2 linked regions of the Lonchura striata genome follow. The protein of the gene in region 2 purifies or fractionates together with the protein of the main gene of each other region. This does not show direct contact. Links are inferred from orthologs where the notes say so. Each region holds a gene or a part of one and is shown on either strand. Other genes may lie near its edges. The genes, in order: NOP10 and NAF1.

Region 1 (14,581 bases), on a different chromosome or scaffold from region 2:
TCCCCAAAGCCACTGTCACCCCGATGTCCCCTCCTGGTGCCACTGTGGCCCCAATGTCCCCAAGGCCACCATGGCCTTTATGTCCCGAGTCACTGCCACCACAATGTCACCCTTGGCCTTGTGTCACTTTCTGGTGCCACCATCACCACGATGTCCCCTCATGGTCCCACCATCGCTCTGATGTCCCCAAGGCCACCATGGCCCGGATGTCCCCTCCTGGTGCCACCATCACCCAATGTCCCCAAGGCCACCATGGCCCTAATGTCCCCTCCTGGTGCAACCATCACCCGATGTCCCCAAGGCCACCATGGCCCTGATGTCCCCAAGGCCGCCATCGCCACGATGTCCCCTCATGGTCCCACCATCGCTCTGATGTCCCCAAGGCCACCATGGCCCTGATGTCCCCTCCTGGTGCCACCATCACCCAATGTCCCCAAGGCCACCATGGCCCCGATGTCTCCAAGGCCACCATGGCCCCGATGTCCCCAAGGCCTTGTGTCCCCTCCCGGTGCCACCGCTGTCCCGCCGTCGCCATGTCCCCTCCCCCGCTGACCAAAATCCGTTTTTTTCACCCATTTTTTATTCATTGCCTTTCCTGGGGACATTTTGGGGACATTTCAGGGAAATCAACGCCACCCCTTCCCCCCTGTCCGGTGTCACCTGTCAGGGACATCTGGGGACACCCGTGGACAGCTCAGGCTCCTGTGGAGAGAGGGGGGTGGTCAGGGTGGTGGCACTGTCCCGCGGTGTCCCCAAAGTGTCCCCAGGGGGGAGGGGACACTCACTTGTCCCAGCTAGAGGTGACAGCTCTGGGGTGGGGTGGCGACGGCTGCGGGGGGGAGGGGACACCTCAGTGTCCCCAGAGTGTCCCCAAGTGTCCCCAAATCCCCCAAATGTCCCCAAGTGTCCCCAAATCCCCCAAATGTCCCCAACCCACCCCGTCCCCCATGTCCCCGACCCCCCAATGTCCCCAAAGTGTCCCCGATGTCCCCAAATGTCCCCAATCCTCCAACCCCAAATCCCCCTCAGTGTGCCCAAGGTTCCCAAAATGTCCCCATATCCCCCAAAGTGTCCCCAGTGTCATTCCCCGATGTCCCCAAATGTCCCCAATGTCCTCAAGTGTCCCCAAAATGTCCCCAAATGTTCCCAAATGTCCCCAATGTCCCCAAATGTCCCCAATGTCCCCAAATGTCCCCAGGTATCCCCGAATGGTCCCGAATCCCCCAAATGTCCCCAGATGTCCCCAAATCCCCCAGATGTCCCCAAATGTCCCCCGGTCTCACCTGGCCTTGCTCTGGCACTTGCATTTCCCACCTGAGGGGACACAGGTGACACAGGTGACAGTGTGACTGGGGTGGCACAGGTGACACACAGGTGACACAAAAGGCACAGAAGTAACACAGAAAGTGACAGGTGGCAATGTGACACAGGTGACAAGGGTGGCACACAGGTGACACAGGTGACAATGTGACACAGATAACACAGAAGGTGACACAGGTGACAGTGACAGGGGTGGCACTCACTGAGCAGGACAAGGACCCCCAGCACGCTCAGCACCGCAGCCACCGTGAGGCCACCGACGCGCAGGTGACACCAGTCTGGGACAGGGACAGGGACACTGGGACAGCTGGGGACACTTTGGGGACATTTGGGAACACCTTGGGGACAGTTTGGGGACATTTTGGGACATTTGGGGACACTTTGGGGACATTGGGGACCCTCCCAGTTCCCGCACTCACCTAACTAGAAGGGACTGGAGGCATCTGGGGGGAAAGGGAGGGGTCAGAGAGACCAGCAGGGACCAGTAAAAACCAGTATGGACCAGTATAGACCGGCATGGACCAGTACAGACCAGCACGGACCAGTATGGACCAGTATAAACCAATTTGGGCTTTCCATCCCAGTCCTTCCCAGTCTGTCCCAGTCCCTCCCAGTGTGTCCCAGTTTGTCCCAGTCCCTCCCAGTTTGTCCCAGTCTGTCACAGTCCGTCCCAGTTTGTCCCAGTTTGTCCCATCTATCCCAGTCACTCACTGGGGGTGTCGCCTCTGGCCAGGGACAGAACTGGGAGGGGGAGGGGACAACAGTTAAACCAGTTTGGGCTGGGACTGGGCCCAGTTCCCCCCAGTTATCCCCAAAATCCTCCCAGTACGGAGCAGCCCATCCCAGTATGGACCAGTAACCCCTGAAATCCTCCCAGTACAGACCAGCCCATCCCACTATGGACCAGTAACCCCCGAAATCCTCCCAGTATGGACCAGCCCATCCCAGTATGGACCAGTAACCCCCAAAATCTTCCCAGTATGGACCAGTCCATCCCAGTATGGACCAGTAACTCCCAAAATCTTCCCAGTATGGACCAGTCCATCCCAGTAACCCCCGAAACCCTCCCAGTCCCTCCCAGTTCCCTCCCAGTAACCCCCCAGTTCCCTCCCAGTATAAACCAGTTACAAAGACCCCTCTGTGCCAGTGTGTCCCAGTCCCTCCCAGTACAAACCAGTCCCTCCCGTAACCCCCCAGTCCCTCCCAGTTCCCTCCCAGTTCCATCCCAGTTCCCCCCAGTCCCTCCCAGTACAAACCAGTACCTCCCAGTATCACCAGTGCCTGGAGCTGTTCCCTCTCCATTCCGTGACCTTTGATCCCTGGGGGGTGGAGGGGACTGGGACAAACTGGGACAAACTGGGAGGGAACTGGGACAAACTGGGACAAACTGGGAGGGAACTGGGAGGGAACTGGGGACCGGTGAGTCACTGGGATTCCTGAGCAGGGCAGAACTGGGATGAACTGGGACAAACTGGGGGGAGCTGGGGGGGACTGGGACCAACTGGGGACTACTGGGAGAGAACTGGGCAAACTGGGAGAGACTGGGATGAACTGGGGGGTTACTGGGATGGACTGGGAGTGACTGGAGGGTTACTGGGAGGTTACTGGGAGTTACTGGGATGAACTGGGAATCACTGGGGGTTACTGGGAATTACTGGCATGAACTGGGAATCACTGGGGCCCCACTCACCTTCCCAGAGCAGCCGCAAGAACTGGAAATGGAGGGGGAGAACTTGGAGGGGGCGTGGCCAATGGAAAATGGGCGTGGTCAATGAAAAGGGCGTGATCAACTATGGGGGCGGGGCAGAGGTTTGGCCGCGGAAGGACTGGGATGAACTGGGGGATACTGGGACGAACTGGGAGTGGCACTGGGGGATACTGGGACGAACTGGGAGTGGCACTGGGATGCACTGGGAGGGACTGGAGTGGCACTGGGGCTGTACTGGGATGAACTGGGAGGGACTGGAGGGGCACTGGAGCTGGACTGGGATGAACTGGGAGGGACTGGAGGGGCACTGGGGCTGTACTGGGATGAACTGGGAGGGACTGGAGGGGCACTGGAGCTGGACTGGGATGAACTGGGAGGGACTGGAGGGGCACTGGGGCTGTACTGGGATGAACTGGGAGGAACTGGAGGGGCACTGGGGCTGTACTGGGATGGACTGGGCTGGACTTGGATGAACTGGGAGGGACTGGAGGGGCACTGGGGCTGTACTGGGATGAACTGGAAGGGACTGGAGGGGCACTGGGGCTGTACTGGGATGAACTGGAGGGGCACTGGGGCTGTACTGGGATGAACTGGGATGTACTGGGAGGGACTGGAGGGGTTGAATGGGCTGGTCCCCCGCCTCCGCCGCCTCCCATTGGTTGAGCCTCCCGCCCATCACCGTCTGCAACCAATCAGCGCCCGGGAACAGCACCTGGAGGCGGGGCCTGGAGCCGGCACCATTTTATCGACTTTGAGTCTACAAGTCCCGTCGTGCACAGCGGCCCCATAGCGGCCTAACCGAGCCAGGACTACAAGTCCCGTCAGGCCCGGCGCCCCTTATCCGCCTCCATGCGCCCCACAGGAGCCCCCCAGACCCTGCGGGACCCCCGAGTGCCTCCTGAGCCCATTCGGGACCCCCGAACGCTCCTCGGACCCGCAGATGCCGCAAACCACACAGAGGCCTTCGAGTGCCACCAAAGGGACTACAGCTCCCACCATGCATCGCGGTACGCACGGAGCGCCATTAAAGCTAGGACTCCAGCTCCCGTCATGCCCCGCGGCCACAGAGCCTCCTCAGAGCCGAGTTCAGGCCCGACAATTCCCGTCGCGTCCTGCGCCCCACAGACACCCCTCAGAGCTCCCCGGGTGCCCCCAGGGGCTTCCCGACCCCACAGGGTGCCCCTGTAGACCCACAAGTGCCCTCCCGGACCCCCAACCGCTCCGCTACAGCCACTTCCGGGACTACAGCTCCCATCATACCTCGCGGCGCCCATCGCGCGCATTTACTGCCATGCCTCCACTTCCCGTGATGCCTCGCGGTCTCATTCAGCTCCATTAAAGCAGCGACTCCATCTCCCGTCATCCCCCGCGCCCCATAGAGCCCAATTATACCCGCACCTACAACTCCCATCATCCCCCGCGCCCCATAGAGCCCAGTTATACCCGCACCTACAACTCCCATCATCCCCCGCGCCCCATAGAGCCCTGTTATACCCGCGCCCCATAGAGCCCCGTTAGCGCTTCCCCCAATACCCCTCTAAATTCCCTCCCCAGACCCTAAAAACCACAAAAATACCCCCAAAACAGGAAAAAAAACCCAAGGTATTTGGATACCAAAACTCAGAGACCCTCGACTTTTAATACTTCATTTTTCCTCCTCTTTAAAACGTTCCTTTCCCCCCCATTTCCGTGCAGTCCGCTGGCATGGCGATTTGACCTTTTCTCATGGCGGAGATCCGTCCCAGGAGCTCGGGGCCATCTCGGGGCTCCGCAGCGGATCTCTGCGGTGCCTCAGAGCACGGTCCGGCCTCGCTGCGTTGGCAAAACCCCGAAGCGCCGCTTCAGGGCCAGGCGGTGCCGGGAGAATTTATCATCGGGGGAGAAGCGGGCGGGGTGCGCCGAGCGAGTGGGGACCCCGTCCGGGGACACCTTCTGTGGGGACAGAGCGTCAGGGAGAGCCCAAATCCCCCCCTCAGCACAGTCCAACTGGCCCGCATGGCCCCAGCCCGCACCGCGGACACCCAAACACCGCGGGTCCCCTCAGAGCCATCCCCTAAATCCCCCCAAAAGCGCCCCAAAAAGCGCCCAGTACCCGCAGGGTGTAGACGCGCTCCCCGCGCTCGTTCTCGTAGCACTGCAGGAACATGGCGGCGCCAGCGCGGCACCCGGCCGGAAGTCGCCTCAAGAGAAAAGGAAAGAAGGCGGTGTTTACACCGGAAATTGGAGAGAGGGGTGATGGGAAATGCAGTTCCGGAAGCGAGCGGGGAGTACCACTCAACCTGGCGGGTCCGAGCGGGGAAATTTGGGGCCAAAAAAGGAGATTTTGGGGTGAAAACGGGAGTTTGGGTCTAAAAAGGAGGAATTTGGGCACAGAAAGAAGGAATTTGTGTCCAGGAAGGGAAAGTTTGGGCTCAAAAAGGGGGATTTGGGTCCAAAAAGAGAGAATTTGGGCCCAAAAAGGGGATTTGGGCAAGAAAAAGGGGAAATTTGGACCGAAAAAGGGAAATTCGGTTTCAAAAAGGGAGAATTTGGACAAAAAAATCTTGGGAATTTGTGCCTCATAAAGGGGAATTTCGGTGCCCAGATGGGAAGTCTGGACCCCAGAAGGGGGAGTTTGGGTCCAAAAATGGAGAATTTGGGCCATAATTCAGGGTTTGAGCAGAAAAATGGAGCAGTTTGGACCTAAAAAGGAGAATCTGGATTTTTAAAAAATGGGAGTCTGACCTTAAAAATTCAACCCAGGGAGGCAGGGGGAAAATTTTGGTGTGAAAAGTGAGTTTGGGTTCAAAGTAAGGAAGTTTGGGTCTGAAAGTGTGAGGAACAGAATTGACGGTTTGGAGTTTTTAAAGTTTATTAATAATAAGAATAACAGTAATAGGATAAAAAAAGGAGAATAATTCCAGCAGGGTGACAGCGCTGAGGCGTGTGCATAGTCATGATTTTGTTATTTGTGAAAAACTCGTTGTGTTGAAATTTTAGGAGTTTTACTTTTACTCGTAAATCAATCTTTGAAAATCTGAGATTTCCAGAGAAGGAGGCAACAATGTTTTGGGTTTTTTTTTTTTTTGAGATTTTGGTGTCTGTTGCTGTTCTTTTAATATTGTCCTCTAGGCTAAAAAGTGTATGTGCCACACTGCTGAAAAGAGATGAATACAGGAAAAAAATTAAAATAGATTAATACAGGAAAAATTTAGAAGAGATTAATACAGGAAAAATGTAAAAGAGGTTAATAAAAGAGATTAATACAGGCAAATTTAAAATATTAGTACAGCAAAACTTAAAGGAGATTAATAGAGGAAAAACTGAAAAGAGATTAATATAGGAAGAATTTAGAAGAGATTAATATGGGAAAACTTAAACGAGATTAATGCAGCAAAATTTAAAAGAGGTTAATACAGGAAAAATTTAAAAGAGATTAATACAGCAAAACTGAAAAGAGATTAATACAGGAAAAATTTAAAAGAGATTAGTGCAGGAAAAACTTAAAAGAGATTAATACAGGAAAAAGTTTAAAAATACTAATACAGCAAAACTGAAAAGATATTAATACAGGAGAAATTTAAGAGATGAATGCAGCCAAATTTAAGAGATTAATACAGCAAAACTTAAAAGAGATTAATACTGCGCTATTAAAATGAAAAAGAGATTAATACAGCCAAATTTAAAAAATATTATTACAGCCAAATTTAAGAGATTAATACTGCATATCTTTCCAACATAACACATCATGTATTAATTTTAATATTTGCCAAAAGCCAGTCATATAATCTGCGATTTTCAGTTTTCAAACATTCTTTAAAATTTCTGAGGTTTTGGGAGCTCCTTTGCCTGACTCCTTCACTCTCCGGCTCAAAGACATCCTGAGGGTTAGGATTTATTATTTTATTTTATTTTATTTTATTTTATTTTAATTTATTTTAATTTATTTTATTTTACTTTATATTATTTTATTTTATTTTGTTTTGGTTTTTTTGGTTTTACTTTTTTATTTTATTTATTCTTGTGTCTCCGCCCTGCTGTTTCACAGCCTCTGATGATATTTTAGTATGTGCTCCTGAAATTAACATGGTGATCTCTAATTATCCTTGTTAATTTTAACATGGTGTTCTCTAATTGTCCTCCTACATTAACATGGTATTCTCTAATTGAACTCATTAAATTAACATGGTATTCTCTAATTATCTTCATTAAAATAACATGGTGTTCTCTCATTTACCTCCTTAAATTAACATGGTGTTCTCTAATTATCCTTGTTATTTTTAACACAGAGCTCCTTAATTGTCCTTGTTAATTTTGACATGATATTCTCTAATTGTCCTCGTGAATTTAGCATGGTGTTCTCTAATTGTGCTCCTGAAATTAACACAGTGTTCTCTAATTGGCCTCATTAATTTTAACACGATGCTCTCTAATTGTCCTCCTTGAATTAACATGGTGTTTCTTAACTGTCCTCGTGAAATTTGACATGGTGATCTCTAATTGTGCTCCTGAAATTAACATGCTGTTCCCTAATTGTCCTCGTTAATTTAGCATGGTGTTCTCTAATTGTGATCATTTCTGCAGGTGGCTGCAGGCAGGAGCACCTGGAGCAGCACTTGGTAGCCGCACTTGGTATCTGTCAAAAGCTGTTGCTCCTTCCTAGAATGATTTTTGCTTGGAAGTGATAATCTGCGACACAAAAACACCATCCACTGTTGACTTCCAGAGGACAATGACATTCTTACAGATATAGTGTCAAGTTTCCTTGTGTCCTTCTGTTTTTTCTTGCTTTCTGGGAAAGAACATCAGCCCAGCATCTGATGCGCAATGCTCCAGTTGCTGCCTGTCAGGTTGTGGCCAGCAGCTCATGTCCAAAGACAAGTGGGTGCTGCCTTCTGGGCAAGGGAATGGACAGGCACGAGCAGAGAATTTCCCTGCTGAAGCTGGGAGGAACCTGGGGAAGTGCAGAAGATTGGGATAACGCTGGCATGAGAGAAGCTGTTCCATGTCTCTGATGACGGTGCCAGCAGTGTGAAGGAAGAGCCAAGAGAAGTGCTGGAAGAAGACACATCTTGGCGTTTTCTGCTGTTCCATGGACACAGAACACACTTGTTCCCATAGCTCCCGAAGACTTGATGCAGGAAGAAAAACATTCAACCAAAGGATCACCAAAGGCCAAAAGGCTTTTGGCCACTTTCCCTTGCCCACCACAGGCTTGGGCAACTTGCCGAGTGCAAGCGCCCTTTTTCCCCTCCTCCCCATTGGCCTGAAAAATCTGGGCACCAAGAGAAAGCTCCTGGACCTCCGGGTATGACAACAACAATTTATTAATGCTACTCTGGGGTGAAAGGAAGGGCTTGCAGAGGGCAGTTGTTCCTCGCAGGCTCAGGTGGCCCCAGCAGACGCAGCCTGGCGGATCAGTTCTCCACAGCGCTGCAGCAGGACAGCCAGCCACGGCGGCACGGGAAAGGCCGTGACTTCCAGAGCCGGCGGAGTTGATCCTGCACATTCTGGAGTCGGGAGGAGGGAATGGCCTGTACAGCTAAATTGATGTACAGGGTTTGAAGGGCCAGGCATGAGATGGCAGGGCTGACGTCATCCGCCATGTCCTGAAGGGCTACGAGAGAGAGGAACAGAGCCACCGTCAGAGCCTGCGTCTGCAGAAACATGGGGAGACCCTCCTGCCACGTCCATGCCAGGCAGCTCTTGCCATGGCCTGGAGGAAGCAGGAGACAAGAAGGGCGAGCTGGAAGGTGCTGGCCACGAATGTGCCACAGGCCCCCCAAAAGGTCTGTGTGCTGTGCCCACGCTGCCCTTGGTGCGTGCCGGGCCAGGGAAGGCAGCTGCCAGCGGCAGCCCCCGCTGAGAGCCCGCTGGCCTCACTCACCCCTGCAGAGGATGCGGAACTCTTGCTGCTGTCCTCTGAGGCAGCGCCCGGCCATCCCTTGGGAACAGAGAGCGTGAGCTGGCTTCAGAGCCACAGCTGCCGCCCGCGGGCGCTGCCCGGCCCGAGGCCACACGGGCTCCTGGCCCGGCAGGGCTCAGCCCGGGCCCCTGGCGCATCCTGCTGCCCCAGGGCACGGCTGCCAGAGGGCGGCGGCAGCGCCGAGGCCAGGCGGGGCTCCAGATGGCCGAGCGCGGATGCTGCTGCCGGGGCAGCAGGCGGGGCTGGGGCCGAGCTGCGGCGGGGCGGGGAAGGAGCCGGGCTCGTGGCTCACCCATGAACCTGACGGCCGCCTCTCGCAGGGGCTCCTGTGGGCTCTGCACGTAGGGCAGGGCCCGGCGCAGGTGCTCGGCCGCTCGGCTCCTGTCCTCTGCCAGCTGCAGAGAGCGGCGGGGCACGAAGGGAAGGGTTGGTGCGGGCCCTGCCCCTCGGCCTGGCGCTCCCTCCGCCCGGCGCCGCTCCCCCTGCCCACACAGCGCCGAGGCCCGGCCAGCAGCCGCCGGCGCCGGGCTCTGCAGGGAGCAGAGGGCCCGGCGAGCCGCGGTGCCGCCCCGCGGCAGAGCCCGGCTGCCTCGGGGCTCCCTCAGCACCGGCCTTGGGGCCAGAGGAGCCTGGAGCAGAGCCCGCGCGGCCCAGGGAAGGCAGCGGCGTGTGGGGCGCCGGCCGGTGCCCCTGCGGGCAGCACTGGGCAGGGGCCGCAGCTGCCAGGGCACAGACTGGGCACCGTGGGCAGGCGGCTTCTCCAGGCCGGGGCTGGGGCTTCCGGGCTGTGCTTACCAAGCGCTCGGCAAAGCTCCACATCTGATCCGTCTTCAGCAGCTGCTGAAGATCCCTTCTCTTCAGGAACCTTACTGCAGAAAGCAGCGTTTCCCGAGAGGCCTGCAGAGCGGCAGAGAGCCAGAGATGGCACCGCAGCCCAGGGCACAGGAGCCACGTCCCCGTTCCAAGGCCAGGAGGGAGCTGGAGCCCATGAGGAGGAGCCAGGCTGTGGGGAGACAGCTGAGCCCCCTGCCATGGGGACCCCGGCGCCCAGGAGCCCTCACCTGTGCCACACGCCAGTTCTCATCGTGGCAGTTGAAGAAGAGTGGGAGCAGGCTCTGGCTCACAGGCTTCTTCAGGGGCTTTTTTCCCTTGGCCACCACCAAGTTCATCACCTCTTGGAAGAGGCGAACGGAGAGCAGCTTCACAAGGGTGTTGTCCTGTTGGAATGGAAGCAAAACCCCTCCACAACAGCTGCTTCAGGACCCCCTGTGCACAGGCACAAGGCACCAGGCTTCCAGTTGGCGCCTGGTGCCCGTGGCTGGGGGCACAGAGCCTTACATTGTCAAAGAGTTGCCAGAGCGCCTCAGCCAGCTGCAGGGCAATGGGGCTGGCTATTGCAAGGTCTTTGTTGCAAAGCAGAGAGCTGAGAACAACGACGGTCATCTCAACAATGTCTTCATCCACGGCCAGCAGGAGTTTGCCAAGGCTTTCAGTCAGGCTGTACATTCTTCCGTTCTGTGTGGAAAACAAGGCTGGGGAACCTCACGCTGCTGCTGCTGCTGCAGGGCTCAGAGACCGAAGGCCTGTCCCAGAGTACTCAGGCCGCTGAACAGCCACCCTGGAGAGCTGGAAGCAGCTGCCACAGCTCCCAAAGGCCAGCCAAGCCCAGGGGGCTGCTTTCCCCAGCCCCACGCTGCCAGCACAGCTTCAGCTGCTGCCTCCTTCTCACCATCGAGGGGTCCTGGCTGAGCACCACGAGGCCTCTGAGCGCCACGCGACGCATCTCTCTGGACTTGCTCTGCAGGTGCCTTGTCATGATCTGCAGGACGTTTTCACCGTATTCACTCAAGTCCAGGCAGTCCAGGACCTGAAAGGCACGGAGCAGTGACAGGAGTGCCCAGCTGGCAGGAGCTCAGAACCGCACAGGGCTGAGCCAAGGCAGCAGCACAGGGCACCATCCCTGGCAGCTGCGGCTACCAGAGGGCAGAGGTGTGGGAGGCAGCTGAGCGAGGCAGCGCTGGCCATTGGGCTCACCTCCACCAGGAAGGCCAGGGCAGGCAGTTCCCAGTCTGAATTGTCTTGGCTGAGTAAGTCAAAGAGGCAGGATGCCATGCTGCAACACCAGATGATGGAGACACGGCGCATCTCCCTGGTGGGGAGAAACAGGCACCATTGCTCCTGAGCTGAGTGGCCAAACCTCTCCCAGGGCTGACTCACAGAAGTCTGGTCTTCTCCCGAGCACTCCCCAGCACGGGTGCTTTGGGAGGCAGCTGCTCCAGGGCACCCTCCTTTCCCAGCCCATTCCAGTCTGCTCATCCCTCCCTTGAGGGCAAGGCCCTGCCGCCCATGAGCACAGGGACTGCGTGGGGTGATCTGGGCACAAAGGAGAGGGGCGGTGGGGAGAATGAGGTCTCACCTGGCCAGCAGACCCACTGCATAGTGGTGGGTGTTGGCACAGAGCAGTGTGTCCCAGGCACACCTGCGTTCCATTGCTAGCACCACGTCCTCGTACTGCATTTGGCAGAGCAGGGCCTTCAGGGTCTGCAGTGCAAAGCTGTGTGCAGAGCAAAGCCCAGGTCACGCTGGGAGGCCCGGCTCCTGCCTTGGGAGCATGGCAGGGATGGGGAGACTGGGAAGACTGGCATGGAGCACCTGTTGGGGTGGGCGGCAAGGCCGTGTTGCTCCTGGCATCTCTTCCAGAAGGTATCCACCTCTTCTGGCATATTCAGCGTGCTGATGTAAGCTTGGAAGAGCAGACGCAGAAAGAGGTTGGGGAAATACTCCAGCACTACAGGTGGACACCAGGTCAGATTGAAGAGCCTCCACAGTGTCAAGGTTGCCTGCAAGAAATAAAACAGCCAGAGACAGCAATCAGTGCCAAGACATGCATGTGGCATGGCCTCAGCCTGTGAGGGAGAGGCCAAGGGAGACACATGGGGAGCAGCCAGCCTGGTGCCCCAGAACCTTTCCCCCAAGCCAGGTTTCAGCCCAGCGCCTGAGGCAGGGAGATGCAGCTGGGGGCAGGGCAGAGAGCAAGCTGCTGGAGAGGTGGCCTGGGGGCTGGCAAAGGCCGCTTCCAGAAACTCACAGCCAGGGCAAAGACCCCTGTGCTGTCCCCATCGGAGGTGTACACGCTGTCCTCTGGCCAGGCGCTCAGCACATCGAGAAGGATCTGTAGCGCCGGCTCCGCGGTCCTGCTCGAGGACATGATGGTCCCCCACATGATCACGGCAGCCCTGTGGGGCCAGAGCTCTGTGTCAGGGGGGTCTCAGCCACAGCAGCGTGGCCTGGGCAGCTGCAGGGGCCTGCACTGGCCCTCAGCCCTGCCTCTGACTCCTGGCCCTGGCTGGCAGCAGCCAGCCAGCCCACGTGGGCCCAGGCCCTGAGGGGCAGGGAGGGAGCATGGCAGCAGGCTCCGGAGTTGACATGCCAGGACTGGAAAACAGAGGGGCCAGAGGCTCCTGGAACTCTCCACCTGTCTGTCAGGGACAGGCTCTACGGGGTGGGGGGGCCGGTGAAGCCTAAGGCCTCAAGGCAGGTGGGGATGCCATGCCTGTCACACGATGGGGCCCAGCGCAAGAGAGTGATCAGCACGTCACAGGGGTATTCCTTGGTCAGCTCCAGAAGGGCCTTGTCCAGCCTGTGCTCAGCAGATTTGTTGGCCGTGAGCCACTGGTGGATGTACCTCACCATGGCTGGCACCTACAGAAGGCACAGGGAGACTTGGAGAGCTGCCAGGGCAGCAACTTGCCCAGCTTCCCCTGAGGAGTGCTTCCCTTTCCACCACATTGGGCTGGACCTCACAGGCTGAGGAAGCCCAGCAGACCCAGCAAGATGTGCCACACCATTCCTGGGGCAATCAAGCCCTTGCCCCAGACTGCTTACTTGCTTTGCATTGGAGACACCCTTCTCCACCAGCAAATTCAGCATGGCAGCACTGGTCTCAGCACTGAAGAGGTGAAAGCTTGCCAAGATCCCGGTGCGCACACCAATGGTCTCTTCCTGCCTAATGCACGTGATGAATTGACAGATGGTCTGCAGGAGAAGAGCAGGAAGAGAGAGAGAATGCATGGAGTGCTCCAACCACTCTGTGCTGGGCTGAGCAGTGCCAGCAGGCCCAGCCCAGATGGGGATGGCCACAGGTACCTGCGCTGTTCTGCGGAAGCGGCCATGGGCGGGTTCCTGTTCTTGTGTCCGGTCCAGGGCTGCATCTGGTAAAGAGCGAGCGCGGCCAGAGCTGCTGAAAGGCTGCAGGAGAGGCTGGAGAACACAGCCCAGCCCTGTTCTCGCCCGGCAGGGAGAACCTCGCAATGCCCCAGGGATGGAGCTGCCATGTGGTTCAGCCCCAGCCCAGCTTCTGTCGTATCCATGGGCATGTGCGATGGGATGGGATGGGATGGGATGGGTTGTGGCCAAGCTGGCTGCAGCCACCAGCCATGCAGCCCAGCAACCCAGCTCTGCCACTCACCCTCCTGCAGCTGCTTGAATGGCACCATCTCTTCAGTCTCGTGCACTGGGGCAGCTCCAGGGCCTTCTTCCTCTTTCTCCACCCAGGCCAGCTTGGGCAGTCTTGGGGGTCTCTGCTCCATGTCAGTGACTGGATCTGTGGCTACTTGCAGGAGAGATACCTCGGAAAACTCCGAGTCAGCAAGTCCTGCTTTTGTGCCTGCACGGCACCTTCAAGACAGAAGCCTCAGGAAGGCTCAAGACAGCAAGTCCTGCACACTGGTCTCGAGGGCTCCTGCCACAAGGACAGGAGACTCCTGTCAAGGATTGTGCTCTCGCCTCGAGGGCACTGGTGACAGGGATGGGAGATGCCTCCAGGGCACCAAGTCCCACGCTCTGCCCTTGAGGGCACCTGCAGAATTGAAGCCTAGGAAGGCCACGGGTCAGCAAGTCCTGTGGTCTGGCCTCGACAGCTGCAGGAATAATGCCTCAGAAATCTCTGGGTCAGACACGAACGAGTGCCCTGTGCGGGGGCTCCTCACAGCACTGCTCTGTCCCGTCCTGTCCCGTCGCGTGCTTGGAGCACTGTGGCATGGTCCTGTCACCGTCAGCTCCTATGTCACCACGTGTCACAAAGGTCCCTTTGACACACTGTTCCATGCCATAGTGACCATGCTGCAGCGTGTCACAAAGGGCCCCTGCACACACTGCCCCCTGCACTATGGCCGCCCCTGGCCCACCCAAAGTGGCTCAGGTTGGAAGGAATCCCTCACCCCAAGTGTCTGAGACAGCCCAACAGGGTCTTCAGGAATGACTCAGACCATCAGCAAACGCTGCCCTGCTCTGTGGGCTCAGGGCAGCAGAAGGAGCCCCCAGGGCTGCCGACGCAGCCATGCTGGGAAGGTCACAGGGCCTTCCATGGAATCTGGCACGGCCTCCTTGGGACACGTCCCAGCCCTTGGCCATCCTAAACCTACGGGTGTGGCACACACAAGGAACTGTCGGCCAGGGTAGGAATGTTGCTCTGAGCCCTGGGGCCCAGGGAGCGCTGACACCAGCAGGTGAGGCAGAGTCCCTGCCCAAGCAGACTTGCCACCCCCCGAGCATTGGCAGCGCTGGTGCTGTGTCCTGCCCCAGAGACCTGTGCCCCCGGGGGCTTCTGTGCCAGAGGGAGCCAAAGCCCAGGTGCACTGGGGGCTGTG
Region 2 (16,102 bases):
ATTCATTTAAAAAAATTAATCTGCAAATAGAACAGAGATCTGAATTCAGAAACTCACATAGAGTTTCTGGACTCATGGTTCAGGATGAAAATAATAATAACAATAACAATATGGATTACTTTTCACCAGCTTAAATAAGTGGGAACTGAATACTGGTACTGCTGATCCCATTTGCACGGTACCCTCTCCTGTTGCCTGGTCAAAACTGAGGTAATTTCTGTACCAAATGGCCACTCAGTGGACAGGGAGAAAGGTTTTGATAATTTCATAAGGTCTGTTTTACTTTCTTTCTGAGGCACTGTAGTAGCATTGCTTTTCATCTTATTGTACAGTTCAGCAAACAAAAATAAATATTTTTCCATTTTGCGATGTAGAGAGTGGACATTTTTCTAGTCCTTCTGGACCAACCATGATTCACATGATTGTCTGAGATTGCAGGAGCCTGAACATAATGAGCCACATCTCTTCTACAGTTGTGTTCCTTGGTTCTCAAAGAGCCTATCAACAACACCAAATTACTACAAAAGAGCATGATTAAGTCAAAGGGAAAGGGAAAGGGAAAGGGAAAGGGAAAGGGAAAGGGAAAGGGAAAGGGAAAGGGAAAGGGAAAGGGAAAGGGAAAGGGAAAGGAAAGGAAAGGAAAGGAAAGGAAAGGAAAGGAAAGGAAAGGAAAGGAAAGGAAAGGAAAGGAAAGGAAAGGAAAGGAAAGGAAAGGAAAGGAAAGGAAAGGAAAGGAAAGGAAAGGAAAGGAAAGGAAAGAGAAAAGGAACATGGCATGATAAGAGAACTCCTGGGACAGATGGAGGGGCAGCATGAAGCACAACTTCCCTGAATGCGAAACCAGAATGTAGGATGAAAAGCAGAGGCAAAGAATTTAGGAAAGCCCTGTGCAATATATATTCATTTTAGTTTCTTTCCACTTTCTTCAGATAATTTTGACACTTTGGGTACAACTTATGTATGTGATGTGAAGCGATCTTGCTTTTTCTGGTGACTACTTTCAGAATAATCACTGAGTAAGTGATCTCAACTGAGTTTGTGCCTTATTGGTGATGTTATGAGAGATTCCATCTACAAGATTTTCAGTTTTGTCTGAAGATATTGAGCTCATAGGCACTATAATTTCTCTCAAGAATAAGATAATGTTTCACCAGACAGGTTTTCTAAACTTACTTTTTTCTACAGACACAGTTTTACTTTCGAGCTTTGGAACTGACTTGCAGCTCTCATGAGGGCAAGGTGATGCACACTTACCTATCAGTGAGGAATCAGTAATTAAAATGGAGCATCAAGGTGGTGTGCTTTCAGTAGCCATTTTTGCTAGGCAGACATGCTTGCATTTCCTGAAATATTTTTATTTTTTGTAAGTTTTAGGTGTTGGAAACTTTTTTTTTTGTTGTTTGATTTTTTAAGAGTACAGAGAATTATAATTAAGCCAAAAGCTTAATTGATTCTCGGTGGTTCAGTCTGAAGGCAATGGAAAGATATGAAGGCCAAATGAGCATGCATAAAATTCTTAAGGACATAATGATTTCCCAAAAGCCATTCAATGAGTCTAGATATGTAACTGTCTCACCTGCTGGTCTCCTGTATATTCTTCTTACCCTATGCTAGACTGCTTTCTTCAAACTCCAAAGAAGTGCCTGCTTATGGTATTCCATGCAGACCAGTTTTTGTTTCAAAGGGACTTTTTAGAATTTTTCATACTCCTTCTGTTATCCTGTTTCTTTACATTTTGGAAAAAAAAAAACCCAACATAAACCAACTAATTCTTCCTTATGAGTACAAGGAGATACAACTTTCAGTTTTACTCGTGTCTGCAAGGACAGAAAGGCTGGCACAATGAAGCACTCAGAAAATAAGAACTGGAGAAAAGGTAAAACCACCTCTTTTATTGACAGTGCCAGTTTATGATAGATTAAAGTTATCCAAATACAATGTAAGAAATGCAGTCTGAGATGTAAAGTGTTCAGAAATCTACAGTAAAACATCTGAATAAAGTGACAATTATGACATAAGTGGATTAAAATTTACAATCTTTAATTTGTTCACTGATTTCATGCTTAATGTCTGTCATATATTGGCACTTTAATAAGTGCCTGTCTACCCAAAACATTGCAAGCATGGAAAGAATGTTAGGCTGTGCAGACAAGATGAGATGGATTGGTTGAGAGCATATATCTGGACAGAAAGAGAGGCCTTCCCGGCTCCAAACAGTCGGTAAAGGCCTCTGAGAGCTACAAAAACTTCACTTTTGTGGAAGACACATCTGAACCATGATAATCAGATAAAAACCCCAGTTCACTAAAACTACTATTTCTTACATAGAGGTCATTACAGGGAAGCCACACTCAAATTTACTTGAGTTACTCTGCCCAAATGTGAGTCCCTACAAATTCCAATACACTGACTATGCTGACAGTTGAAATTTCAGAGCTGTTTATACATACAAGAATAAATCACATTTATAGATGCAGCCTGGATCCAGTTGGTTTTGTAACAAATTAAATTATGGTTATATTAGTATAATTCAAAATTATGAGTGAAATAAAGTAGAAAAAGAATGCAGTAGACTCCAATTATAAATAGATGTCATTGACAAACAAACTGTACAAACTCTTAGAATAATTGGAGGTGAACTTGTCCATTGGTCTGTGAAAGGATTTGGAATGCTACTGTTGAAATTGGTTGTGGGCAGCTCAGTCATGGAAAGATTACTGGCTATATTTGGAAAAATAAACAACAATAAGAATATGGTAAATAACATTGTACATTTTTTCCATATTTAAAAATGTATTTTGGGGAAAAAAAAATCCTTCGAAGTTCAATTTTTTTATCTAGTTATAAGCTGCCCAACTCTTTATATGAAAAAAGAACTAAGAAATTTGTGCAATTTAACTCTGTACATTAATTTTAAGCTTTGAAATGAGTAAAACATTCTGTACCGTAGCTATTTTAATCTCATTTCTGTACTAGATATCTCAGCTGTGCAAGCTACAATATTGATTCATCTGGGTGGAATGAAATATGACTAGCAATAGGGACACAGAAAATTCTGTTGATCTGATTTCTTTTCCCTCCCACTGTTCCTGACCATGAATACCTTAGCTTCTAATAGTTCAGGCAGAGTGAAAAAAAAGGCTCTGGGATCAGAGCAGTAGCTTCAAAACTGTTGGAAATTTAAGCTCATGATTTCCCTATTGTTGTGGGACAACTCCCTTTCCTCTTCCATGCCACTCTAGAAGCTTGCAGAATCACAAAACAACCTGAGTTGGAAGAAACCCACAAGGATCATCAAATTCAACTCCTGGCCCTGCACAGGACACCCCAAGAGTCACATATTTGCTCGAGACCATTGTCTAAATGCTTCTTAAACTCTGCCAACTGGTGCTGTGACCACTTCCCTGGGAGCCTGCTCCAGTGCCCAACCACCCTTGGGGAGAGGAAACTCTCCCTAATATCCAACCTAAACCTCTCCTGACACAGCTTCATGTCATTCCTTTGGATCCTGTCACTGGTCACCACAGAGAAGAGATCAGTGCCTGCCCCTCTGCCTTCTGCTTGTGAGGAAGCTGTAGACCATTATGAGGTCTCCTCTCAGTCTCCTTCAGGCAGAACAGACCAAGTGACCTCAGCTGCTCCTCACACAGCTTCACCTCCAGACTCTCCACCATCTTCACTGCCCTCCTTTGGATGCTCTCCAGTTTATACCCTTCTTATATTGTGGTGCCCAAAACTGCCCCCAGCACTCAAGGTGAGGCTGTTCCAGTGCAGAACAGAGTGGGACAATCCCCTCCTTTCCTGGCTGGTGATGCTGTGCCTGATGTCCCCTAGGACAGGGCTGGCCCTCCTGGCTGCCAGGGCACAATCACTCATGTTCAGCTTGACATTGACCCAGACCACCAGATCCCTTTCCATAGTGCTGCTCTCCAGCCTGTTGTTCCCCAGTTTGCACATAAATATAGGATTTTCCTATCCCAGGTGGAGAATCCAAAACTTGTGTTCCTTAATCTTCATACAGTTGGTGATTACCCAGCCCTCTAATTTGTCTGCATCTCTGCAGGACCTCTCTGACTTTGAGGGAGTCAATGGTTGCTCCCACAGGCAAACTTAAGAGCCCTTAGAGTCCTGTGCCCAAGTTGTCTATGCAGACACTGAAGGCCACTGACCCTACAATGGAAGCCTGAAGAACCCCTTCTGTGACAGGCTGCCAGTCTGATGTCACCCCGTTCACGATGAACCTTTGCAGCCAATTCGCGAGGCAGCTGCTCACCCTTTGTATGACGTTTATCCAAGTGTGTGCTGGACATTTTATCCAGAGGGATCCTATGAGAGACAGCATTGGAAGCTTTATTGATATCAAAAAAATATATCAAGCAGGCTTACCAGCTGCTTATACTACTTACAGTACAGTGATATAGTGATATAGTGATATAGTGATATCACTGTGTATAGTCATTCACATATGGAAGCATAAAATATATAAATTATAAAGATCACAGTGAATAGTGTTTTAAAATATATAAAGAAACATTACTTCCTTTCTTATTCGTACCTTTTCTTCCCAAGACATAATAAGCAGGACACTGAAATCTCCAACCTGTTTTCTATATTCCAGTCCAGGACAGATATGACGATGAAACTATTTCTTCCAACAGACTCCTTTATTGCATCCAAAGCATTGCAATAAAACATTGTAATAATAGTTTGAGTTCCATCACTTTAGCTTTAAAAGTGCAATGGGAACAATTATGCACACCCATCTTAGCAGCAAGAATGAAGAAATAAATGTAGGAAACAACACCTCCAGAGAGCTTCATCAAAGATTGGAGGCAGAAAACAGAGCTTACAGTACCTTTTATCCCAGCCTTGACAGATGATGTCAGATTCCAGTCCTAGCAGTGACATTTCTTAACTGCTCAGACCTTGAAAACATGCGTTGGAACTACTGTGATTCAAGTGTTCATCTCTGAAATGTTTCTTTTCCTAGAACATCTCTTTGCTCATGCTGTTACGTTGCAGATTATTTACTGCATGCCTTTGCTGAGTGGATGACGATGTTTACTCTGCATTAAACCTCTCAATATCTTCATTCTAAGAGCAATGCTATTTTATATGTTAAGGGGGATAAGTGGCAGCATTCAGATGAAATAAAGTATCTTTCTTGTCTGAAAGATGCTGCCAGTTCTGCACAAACACAGAGGAAACTGTCATAACACAATCTATGTGCCAGAGTAAAGCTATAAATCACTTACTAAAATACTTTAAAAAGCAGGAAAGACATGATTCATAAGACAGATGAAGAATTTTACTTACATAAATGCAACATAAAGACCTGAATATATTTTCACATTTCCAAGCAATGTGTGATAATAAATAAATAAAATTAATTTTAATTCAATTAATTCCTTCATACATTATGGCATTAATTATTTTACCTTTTTTAGGAAAGGCTTTGGCTGATGAAAGGGCTTTGTCTGCTTTGGTGAAATTATTTCCTTCCCAGTCACACTGATCAACTTTTTCACACAAACACACAAATCTTGTATTATAGTCTATTTCAGATACATCTGACAAAACAAATGAATAAATTAAAAAAGAAATCCCAGTCTAATAATAAACTGTCTTTGCTTAGTTTTAAAATGAAACCTGGTTTTGCAGAATTTGATTTTAGTGGGATTCTGCATCTATTCATTGTTTAATTGGATACATATTTCATTTCTGTCACTTTCTTAGGGATTAAAATATATTTGCCAGTGAGATTCAATAGAAACCATTTTTATAATTGTTCAATATTTAATCTCCAAGCAATTGACAATTAATTGTTGTTGACATTTAATTGCATGATTTTCTAAAGCTCTCTTTTGTTAAAGAGCTTGCAGTACAGGTCAGTAATATTCAGAACATGCTTCCCACGTACACTCATCTCAAGATCCCAGTGCTGTCACTGAAGGTGGAGATGATTCCTACCCTAGGTGTTCTGAGTAATTGTGCAGTGAGAGTTTACTGCTGCTGTATAAACGTACAGCTCATACAGGCTCCTTGCCTATGACCGTGCAAAACTATCAAATGCTCATAACATACCTGTTCTGCTTGACCTATACATAATTGTAGACAACTGAAAAAAAGTACTGTTGAATTAAATTATATACAAACTTGGACATGCATGACTTTCCTACTAAATAAAAATCTGCTGGTTGCTTCTGTTATGTCATAATGGAGAGTGGAACAACCAGAGAACAAATCTTCTGTCATCAGATGCTCCCTTCAGCCTGTGTTGGTTATTAGTGAAGCACTCTTGTGACAGTGGGCTCAATGTAGCCTTGCCATTCTGGACAAGAATAAAATGTTTTGGGCGCCATTTGAGCTGTGGGGCACACAGCCCTGGAGGAGAAGGTCATTACATGGAAAACGTATCATTCTCTGCTCTCATCAGATATTCAAGTCCCAGTCTCCTCTGGCACTTCCAGCATTATCACATGCAACTTTTTCAAGTATTTATCTGTTTTTATCTACTTATTCTCCTGGGGCCTATGCTGTACTCTGTTGCCTGGTAATGAAGCCCATTTGGAATCCGGTCCAAGGGACAGTGTGGTGTGGTCAGGGACACACAGCGCTGGCCCAGGAGCGCAGTTGTCAAAGTACACTTTAGAGGCTGGGTTAAAGGGACTTGTCACCCTAACAGTGATCTCCTGATGCTGTGTGCCTTTAGAACATCTTTTGGCATTTCCCAAGGATGAATTGCACTATAGAGAAAACGTAGTGCTTTTTCTGCTGTGTTCCCTTGTGAGGAAAAGCTTTATCTGTGTGACACCAACCACACAGAGCAGTCAGGAGGGACCTGAGTCGGTTCCCTCCTATGGGAACCGTGTGCCACATCCTGGGATGCCAAGAGTCCTTCCCATCCCCACGGAGCTGCATGAGACAGACACCTCGGAAAACCTAAAGCTCCAAAGCCGTAAGTATTTATGGTGAACCAGAACACAGATTTATTTTGGAGAGCTTGGCATTATTGTACAGTCACCATCAGTATGGAGTCACTACGTCAATGTACTACAAACTACTATTAGTACAGTAATTTGGTATTCTACAGCTTTTTTGTCGTTGTTGTTTTTGGGCTTTTTTTTAGTTTTAACTACATGATTCTGTGTGTTGTCAGCACAGAACCCCTCCCAGCAGGTTCACAGTAAGAGCAGCTCTAGCTCTGTGTCTCACTCAGCCGCCACAGACACCAAGGCCGGCCGCGGAGCTCCCCCTGCCCGGAGCCGCCCCGGGACTGGCCCGGGCCCGCCTCGCTTCGGCGCACGCGCACGGGGGCGGCTCGCGGCGGCCGGAAGTGGCGCGCGCCGGGGGCGGTGACGCGGGGCGCGTGGCGCGGGAATGGAGGGGCGGCTGGAGAACCCGGCCGTGGAGCCGGGCGGGCAGCCCGAGACGGTGGAGCGGGAAGTGGTGGAGCAGCTGGAGAACCCGGCCGTGGAGCTGGGCTGCCAGCAGGAAGTGCTAGAGCAGCTGGAGAACCCGGGTGTGGGGCCGGGAGGGCAGCGAGAGATGGTGGAGCAGCTGGAGAACCTGGCCATGGAGCCGGGCGGGCAGCGGGAAGTGGCGGAGCAGGTAGAGAACCCGGCTATGGGGCCGGGTCGGGAGCGGGAGATGATGGAGCAGCTGGAGAATCCGGCTGTGGGGCCGGGCCGGCAGCGGGAAGTGGTGGAGCAGCTGGAGAGCCTGGCTTTGGAGCCAGGCAAGCAGCGAGAAGTGGAGCAGCGGGAGAACCCGGCCGTGGAGCCGGGCGGGCAGCTGGAGGAGGTGGAGCAGCGGGAGAACCCGGCCGTGGAGCCGGGCGGGCAGCTGGAGGAGGTGGAGCAGCGGGAGAACCCGGCCGTGCAGCCGGGCGGACAGCTGGAGGAGGTGGAGCAGCGGGAGAACCCGGCCGTGGAGCCGGGCGGACAGCTGGAGGAGGTGGAGCAGCTGGAGAACCCGGCCGTGGAGCCGGGCGGACAGCGGCAGGCCGACCGGGAGCTGGTGCAGAGCCCTGCGGAGGGCGCCGGGGAAGTCCAAGGCGCTGTGCCCCCGGCCGCGGGCCCGCGGCGCTCGCCGCCCGCCTGGCCCCGCGGTCCCGCGGCCGCCGTGCCCTCGTCGGACTCGGACAGGTGGGTCCAGCCCCGCCTCGCCCCGTGCTCCCCGAGGCCTCGGGCGGCGGCGCGGGCCGCTGGGGCTGTGGCTGAGCGCCAGAGAGCCCGGTGTGTCTCCCCCGTCTCGCTGTTTCACCCTCTGGAGCTTGCTCCTTCCCATCAAAGGTGTAATTTCCAGTTACATTTGTCTGGGAGCCTGTTAAATTAGGTCTCCAGATCAGTGCCTGTAAGGGTGTAGGGTGTAACGATGGCATGAGTTTGGTGGCTGCCGCCTGGAGAGCGTGGGGCGCCCGCCCCATTGGCTTGAGGTAGTCCTCAACAGAACGCACCTGCGGCTTTTGGGGCAGGACACCCGCAGTAGGACTGCTGAAAAACCTGAATGCAGGACTAAAGGTGGCGAGTCTGCACACCATACCATGTTGGCATCTCAGTGGAAAAGCTCATTCACGTTTATTTTTTATTTAATATGGTTCCATATTGTACTTGAGGCATCTCTACTTCGATGTTCAGTATAGTTGGTGAAAGGTTAAATGTGGGCTCTGTTGCAGTGTTAGAAGTCTGCACACTTCGGTTGTTGCAGTAAGTCTTGTGTTTTCTTATTTGGCTGGTACAGCAGGATGGCCATGTACTTCTTTTGACTAGAGAAGGCTAAAATAAAGTCTAAGAATCTTCTTTTAAAGATACCAAGCTTCATTAAGAGTTAATTGATTAAAGTTTGACTTCAGAAGTACTTTTGTTGGTTCAAAGTTTCCTTGAATATCATAAAGTGATAGTGAAATTCCTGACTTCAGGGGCTTCACCCATGTGTAGTGTTTTTTACTTTCAAAATCTCTTGTGCTGATAAACATTAAAGATGAAATTTTAATAACTACAACTTATCTGTTTTGCATATATCTCAGTCTTTGTTTTGTTTTTAACTTTCTTCACTGGTCGGTATCCTAGTCTGATTTTTTTGTCTTTCTGTTGTATTGATACTGTTCCAAGAAGTCCATATTTGACCTTTTCAAAAGGTTTATTTGGAGAGGTGCTCTTATTTCTTGTCATTACTATGAGCATTTGTTGTAATAAAGAAAGGAGCAATAGAAGGCCACCCACTTACTTGGGAATGAGACTGGTATTACAAGAATCTCGAAAGAAGTGTTTTTTTTTGGTTTTTTGGGTTTTTTTTTTTTCCTTCAGGTAAGAAAGGTTATTTTGCATAAGTTTGCTTATCTCATTGTATTTTCATGTGTTAAGTTCGTATTTCTTCAGTTACTAGGATCAATTGTTCCACATTTTTTTCTTCCACCAGCCCTTGAAGAACTTGGACCTTTGCTAAAACAAGCATGTTGACATGAATAAGGACTGGTTTCTTACTCTACTTGAAATATTGAGAGTCTAAGACAATAAATATCTCTTCACATGTGACAGTGAGAAATACTGAATTACTTTGTGAATATTTACCAGGAGATTTGGACAGGACATGAATTATGAAATGAATCCATTTTATTTACAAAAAATAGAATTTTCTCCCCTTGACTGCAAGATGCATTACTTGGAATAAGTATTTTCTTAACTTTCATTCAGCATTATGCTAATGTTGGGATTTTACAAGAACAGTGACTGTGAGAAGGCAGTATTGTAACTCCCATATTTTTTTTTTAATATAGTGATACAGATTCAGATAGTTCATCAGCTACACTCTTCTCTTCATCTTCATCAGCAGTATCTGATGAAGATGATCATCCAAATGAAAAGAATAACAGATCTTACTGTCTTAGGACAAAGGATGAGTTGCCTATTGATGTAAGTACAATGCAGTATTTTTTAAACCCTTTTCTACTAACCCAGCTAAAAATTTATATATTAAGTTAGTCCTCCTGTGTCAAGATGGGGATAGAATCAGAATAGTAAAAGAGAAACTCCAAGGCTGAACTAGACACAGTTTAGTGGGTAAAGCAAAAGCCACCCACACAAGCAAAGAGAACCCAGAAATTAATTTACCACTTTCCATGGACAGGCAGGTGTTCTGCCATCCCCAGGAAAGCTGGGCTTCATCATGTGTAACTGTTGCTTGGGCACACAAACAGCATCACTGGAAATGTCCCTCATTCTCCTTTTTCACCCAGCTTTGTATGCTGAGCATGATGTTACATGGTATAGAATGTTCCTTTGGTCTGTGCAGGTCACCTCTCCTGGCTGTGCCCCTCCCAAGTCCTTTTGCAGCTCCTCACTGGTGGGGTGGCATGGGAGGCAGAAAAAGCCCTGGCTGTGTGGAAGCCCTGCTCAGCAATAATGAAAACATCTCTATATTGTCAGCAATGTTTCCAGCACAGATCCAGAACACAACCCTGTAACAGCCACTGTGAAGAAAATTGGCTTTTCTGCAGTAAAACCCACCACAGTTAATAATATAAAAAATCGTGTTTTACAGGTATATGTATTAAGGAGTGTTAGTGGAACCATTTCAGAAATCTCTTGCTTTGAAACAAGGATTGGCAGATACTGTATATAATGTGGCAGAAGGTATTTTGAGATACAGGATCACAGTTTTATCTTCCTGCTTGTCTTTGGTGTTTCAGTTCTGTTATAAAAGTGACTCAGTTAAGTCTTAGCAGTGAACTAAGTAAATTTTGATCCTTATATGGGAAAACCCCTATTTGAATATTGTGTAGCACTCATTATTATATCTGAAGTTTGGTTTTTTGTGTTCTCTCTGATGTCTAGTACCAAATGCAGCTTTCAGCTAAAAATAATTCTTTGTATAAGTTGTTGTGATGTTTACATCTTTTATAGTGATCCAAGCCATGATGTAAATGGACAGACTCCATTTTGTAAATCAGATGATACACATCTGGTGCATTTTATGCTATATTGCTGTGTACATTTTTTATGCTATATTGCTATATTGCTGTGTACATTTTTCTTCTAGCATACATTGAGTGTTGTTGCAGGTGGTCTTATTTTTTGATTTCTGATTATTGTGTTGTACATGGCTTGTGAATGAAATGCCTGTCAATTGTTGGCTTTCTCCTGCTAAATAAAACTGGCTTCTGCCATAGTTGTGATGGAAATATATAGAGTAGTGTCTCTGTAGGAGAGATTTTCTCAAAAGTGGTGGTCCCCTAAGATGAGTTCATTTAGGATGATTCTGAAAGAGGCAAATCAAACTAGTTTTTTTAACAATAAATCTTAAAAATGCCAGGGGATTTTTCCAAACTGTCAAATTTCTGCAGTGACAAAGTGGTAAGTGCCTTTGTGTGATATTATATTGTAAACATTGACTTGATGTTTGCAGAAACTGCCTCCTGTTGAAGACTTATCAATAATTCTTCCAGATAATGTTGAACTGAAACTCTTTGGGACAGTTTCCAGCGTGATTGAGCAGCTAGGTAGGCAAGATATGTTTGCTGTGTTCTTAATTATTATAATTTCTGTATATCTCTGCATGAATTGTGTTCTTAGCTGGTCCTTCAAAGTGTCAGTCCTGCAGCATCCCATTTCTGGGGGTAGCAGGTTGCTGAATTGGAATTCTAACTAGCATTTGTGTTCAATTACCTTTTGTTTGGCTTATATGCATGTGTTTCTGTGTGACTTCCATGTTTAATTTTTTAATTCAAACACCTTTATTTCTGTTGTGTATTATGGCTTTTATATTGATACTGGCCACAGTTATTGTATTTAAGTGTTTTAAGAAAGTCTTCCAGTTGTAGTTGCTATTTTTGAATAATCCCTGAATATATAGGAGCTGTATAACTGAAAGCGCAGATACAATACAATGCAGTCCCAAGTGCTTGCTTGTTAATATATGAGGACAGGTAAAAGACTTGTTTATTCAACAGTGGAAGTTCATTTATTTATTTTTTTATATATTTATTCATTCCACTTCTGGTACCTTGAGCTGCCCGTTGTCAGCAGTCAGATGATGGTGTGACTAACATGATTTATAGGTGGAGGGTGAGCTTTAGATATTGAATGGATGTAAACTTAACCACAGGCATAGAGATTTAGGGATCTTTTTGGATCTGTGTGGGACCTCAGTATTTGATAAATGAAATCAAAATTTTGCTGAAGCTCATATTACTAAAATATTCACAGTATGTTTGTATTAAAGCTATTTCAAGTGTTTCATTCTGCTTGAACTGCATTTCAAGCAATTTGCTTATGCAAATTAGAAATTAAGTTCAATTTTGAAGTTACAGTATTTATGCTGAATGTAGTACAAAAGAAAGTAAGTAACTTTTGCTATTAATTTTTCTTTTAAAAAACTTAAGATAATACAGGCAAGTCCTCTATTTTATTGTGGTGAGGTTTAATTTCATTCATTTACAGGAAGCTAAAAGGAGGGTGTGGAAGGTAGTGATCTAGTTCTTTTCTACTTTGTCCTTTCTTGCGTATTGATAATAATGGGGACTTCAAGAATGTTGCTTTCAGCTAAAATGGTAGTTTGAAACCAAGTTTTAAAAACAAGTTGAATTATACTTGCTATTATTCTTACTTTTGGTTTAAAATGTGAAGGTATAAACAAAACTATTTTAAAGACTGCAGTTTTGAAAACCATCCTTAATTCTAATCCTTACTGGTGAGTATAATCTTTTCAAATACCAGTTTACTGGTAGGCGAATTCTTCACCTACCAGGCTGCATCCTACTTCATGTAATGTACATCTATAAAGTGTTGCATTAAATTTTTTGGTGAAAATTAGAAAACAAGCTCATAATCATAGTGAAATAAAACCATATAAATGGGATAAACTCCCAGGATATTTGGGATTATTTTCTTGCTTTTATTACCTTGCTTTATAACTTTTCTTTCTCCACATTTTAGTTTGTTTTCAGTTCTTCTGAAAACAGCCCTCAATTTCACTTGATTTGTGGTTATATTAGGGATGCCAGCTGATTGGGGATTTTTTTTTTATTTTTGAACTAAATTGATACCTCTGTATACCAAGTTTGTATCTAGTCTGAGGCGAGTTGATTCCTCATTTGGAAGCCACCAATATTATTCTGACATAAGTGAGTATTCTTTTTCTGTCCCTTTGATGTCCCTCAGAATTTCTTGCTGTTCTCTGTAGCAAACGTCCAAGTTCATCAGTTTGCAGTGAGTGATACTTCTAAGTGGATATTTCATCCTGTGAGGTAAATTTGAGGTTAAAACAGTGTAGGCTCATGCTTGCTGTGCGGTAGCTAAAAGCAAAATGACAGTATTTTCTATGAACTTCTGCTCAATGTATCAGAATTTAACAAAACTTGTGCTGTATCTTGCGTCAAGGTACTTAAAGAGAAGAGAAAAATTCACTGTGTGGGTTGGGACCTGGAGAGTAAACAGCTTTGGATATGAGAAACTTTCCCTGTGCTTTGGGCCCTGCAGGAGTAGAAGCTGATAATTCAGGATGGTTTGGGGTAGGGGAAGCTGTAAGTCAGGCTGGAGGTGGTAGTGTTTCTCCTAAGTTTCATTGGACTGGTGCGTTGTATCTTTTCCTCAGCCTGCTGCATGCTGGGAGCTGCATGTGGTGAATCAAGTTGAGAACATTATCTGAGGTTTTGGTGTTGTTTTTGTGTAGGGTTTTTTTGTGTTGATGTTTGGGGGATTTTGTCTGCTTTTTTTTTGCTAAGGTATTTTTCTCATGAGGTTTGAACAACACATAAGGTTACATACACTGTATATTTTATCTTAAAGGTAGGCACAAGAGAAATTGATTTCACAAATTCTCTTGAAATTCAGTGAACTGTTAAGCCTGTGGAATTGTCATTTCCTTGTTTGGCACGTTAAGTTTTTTGCTGATTGCGTTAGTAGCAGTAGCTTTTAGGTTGGTGACATGTTGATTGCTGAAAGTCCTTTTATGTAAGTTTAGCAGTGATGATCTTGAGCTTTTATTTGAGCCTGAGTGATGCTGTATACTTGAGTGACTTTATTTGCTGATGGACAGTCATTGAGAAAGCTTAATTGAGCATTGTGTTGTTTTTCAGGTAGAGAAGTTCAATCATCATTAGGCCCAAATGTACTACGAGACTTCTATGGCATTAAATTGCAGAATGTCTAACAGATGGGGTATATGCATATATAAACACCATCAGTTGCTACTGTGACTGAACTGCCAGACAGTTTTGTGTTCTGGTATGATTCTTAGGACTCTTTCTCTCTTTACCCCAGAGAACAATAATTCTGTAACCAATATTAGCATTACCACTCATGTATAATTGAGAGGGGGTGTGTGATTCTAAGTACTTTTACACATGTGCAAGAATATTTGGTTGCAGCTCTACAAACTTAAGTAGACAAGTAGTGGTGTGGTTTGTTAAGTTTTACCACAATAAACTACATGCTGTTAAAACATAAAGTTCTAATTAATTTTTTTATTTCCATTTTAGTAATAATTGAATCACTGAGAGGCCTACCTCCAGTAAATGAGGAAAGCATAATTTTTAAAGAAGATCGGCAAGCAGTAGGAAAGGTGGGTGTAAAATAAAAACTTGTTATTCCAATATAAAATTGGAAATATTCTTTAGTGTTCTAGAAAGTAGAGTTGCAGGCTATTAAATGAAAGATAATACTTCCTTAATATATAGTTTTTCTTAGTGCCTTTGACTTTTGCTATATTCATCTGTTTATTTAATCCCAAGAATTCCTAACTTGAAATTAATTGCATCCTTGCAGAACTACAGTATGTGGTGAGTTTCCAGTGTTTGTTGAGAGTGCTTGTGGAGAGGAAGAGATTGTTTTCAGATGTATGATGTCTTGGAATAACAGGCTGTGTGCTCTTTTACTGCCAGATAGGGGCAGTGGTTAGAGTGAAGTTCTATGAAAAATGAGCAATGTTGTCTTCTATGCTCTACTGTTCTGATTTAAGGCTAGTGAAGAATGTTTGCTGAGAGGGTTGTACTGAATTTTCTGTAGAAGGAAAGCCATCATCCACAATGCGTACTACTGAAATATCTTTAAATCCTAGATGTGAGTGGAACAAACTTAGCCTGAATTTTGCAGATGCTCTGTCAAACATGGCAGAATTCTCTGCTCTCCATGGAATTGGGGAACAAGCAGTAATTGTTGTAAAGGCATCTTGTTAAGATGAACTTGGAGGAAAAAGTGATCAGGAGATTGTCCCAAGCATTATGAGACTTGAAAGCATAACAGACACAAAAAACAGAGGTTTGACAAAAGAAAGAATTACTATGGATGTGAGAACTTAAATGTTCCATGTAATAAAAAACAGTAGTTGCGGAAATACACTTGAACAAAATTTGGTAATGAAACTAAAGTGTGAAAGGAAGTTTTATTTGATGCTGCATTTAGAAAATAATTTGGACTTCTTAAATATCATTGTCTACAATGAAATTAGCTACTACTAATCTACTTGTAGTTTACTTAAACATTTTAATTTTATTTCTTTCAGATATTTGAGATATTTGGTCCTGTTTCACATCCTTTTTATGTGATAAGATTTAACAACTCTGAGCATATCAAAGAGAAAGGTGTTAATGTGCAAGATAGCATGTATTTTGCTCCATCAGTAGAGGACTTCACCCAATATATATTTGCAGAAAAACTAAAACAGTGAGTCTGATTTCTGTTGTAATCTGGTTATAATGTTTTTTTTTTTTATATAGGTAAAAATGTTGGATTAAAGTTGAGTCTTCAGTGAGAAACTGTAGAACTAAGCTTAACACTTTATATTTCCATGAGATGTTCTCGACTATGTTGTGATAACAAGACTGTGCTATTTTGCCTTTGAGAACAATGAAGAGTAGCTGTAAACTGCAAGCATTTAAAGTGCTGTAATTACTAAAGTTTAGCGTATTCTACTTAATATACTAAGCTTGCTTTCTTTTTATGCTGCTGTTAACTAAAATACCACAACCAGAAAAGTTCACTGATACTTCCTCCATACCCTCTGACACACATATTCATGAGTTTAAAGAAGTTTCTCAAGCTGAACTTTCCAGATTTTGTTGTTCTTTAGATTCTGGTATAGTTTCAGAACTGATATTAAACTT

What was found.
Region 1: the proteins of NAF1 (region 2) and NOP10 purify together in Homo sapiens (co-immunoprecipitation; 6 studies listed by BioGRID and IntAct, with this or other methods). This does not show direct contact. The link is inferred for Lonchura striata from reciprocal best matches to the Homo sapiens genes NAF1 and NOP10.

The regions. Positions count from the first base shown.
Region 1 is NC_134639.1:2,428,218-2,442,798, forward strand, and holds NOP10 (H/ACA ribonucleoprotein complex subunit 3), read right to left. Parts: upstream 5,217-14,581; 5' UTR 5,175-5,216; coding exon 5,121-5,174; intron 4,961-5,120; coding exon 4,820-4,960; 3' UTR 4,649-4,819; downstream 1-4,648. Other genes in the region: uncharacterized protein LOC110481739, read right to left, coding at 695-702, 786-829, 1,284-1,314, 1,524-1,636, 1,740-1,763, 2,583-2,639, 3,011-3,684. UniProt on the Homo sapiens protein: Required for ribosome biogenesis and telomere maintenance. Part of the H/ACA small nucleolar ribonucleoprotein (H/ACA snoRNP) complex, which catalyzes pseudouridylation of rRNA.
Region 2 is NC_134606.1:39,335,661-39,351,762, forward strand, and holds the start of NAF1 (H/ACA ribonucleoprotein complex non-core subunit NAF1), read left to right. Parts: upstream 1-7,380; coding exon 7,381-8,147; intron 8,148-9,778; coding exon 9,779-9,914; intron 9,915-11,406; coding exon 11,407-11,500; intron 11,501-14,479; coding exon 14,480-14,562; intron 14,563-15,501; coding exon 15,502-15,662; intron 15,663-16,102. UniProt on the Homo sapiens protein: RNA-binding protein required for the maturation of box H/ACA snoRNPs complex and ribosome biogenesis.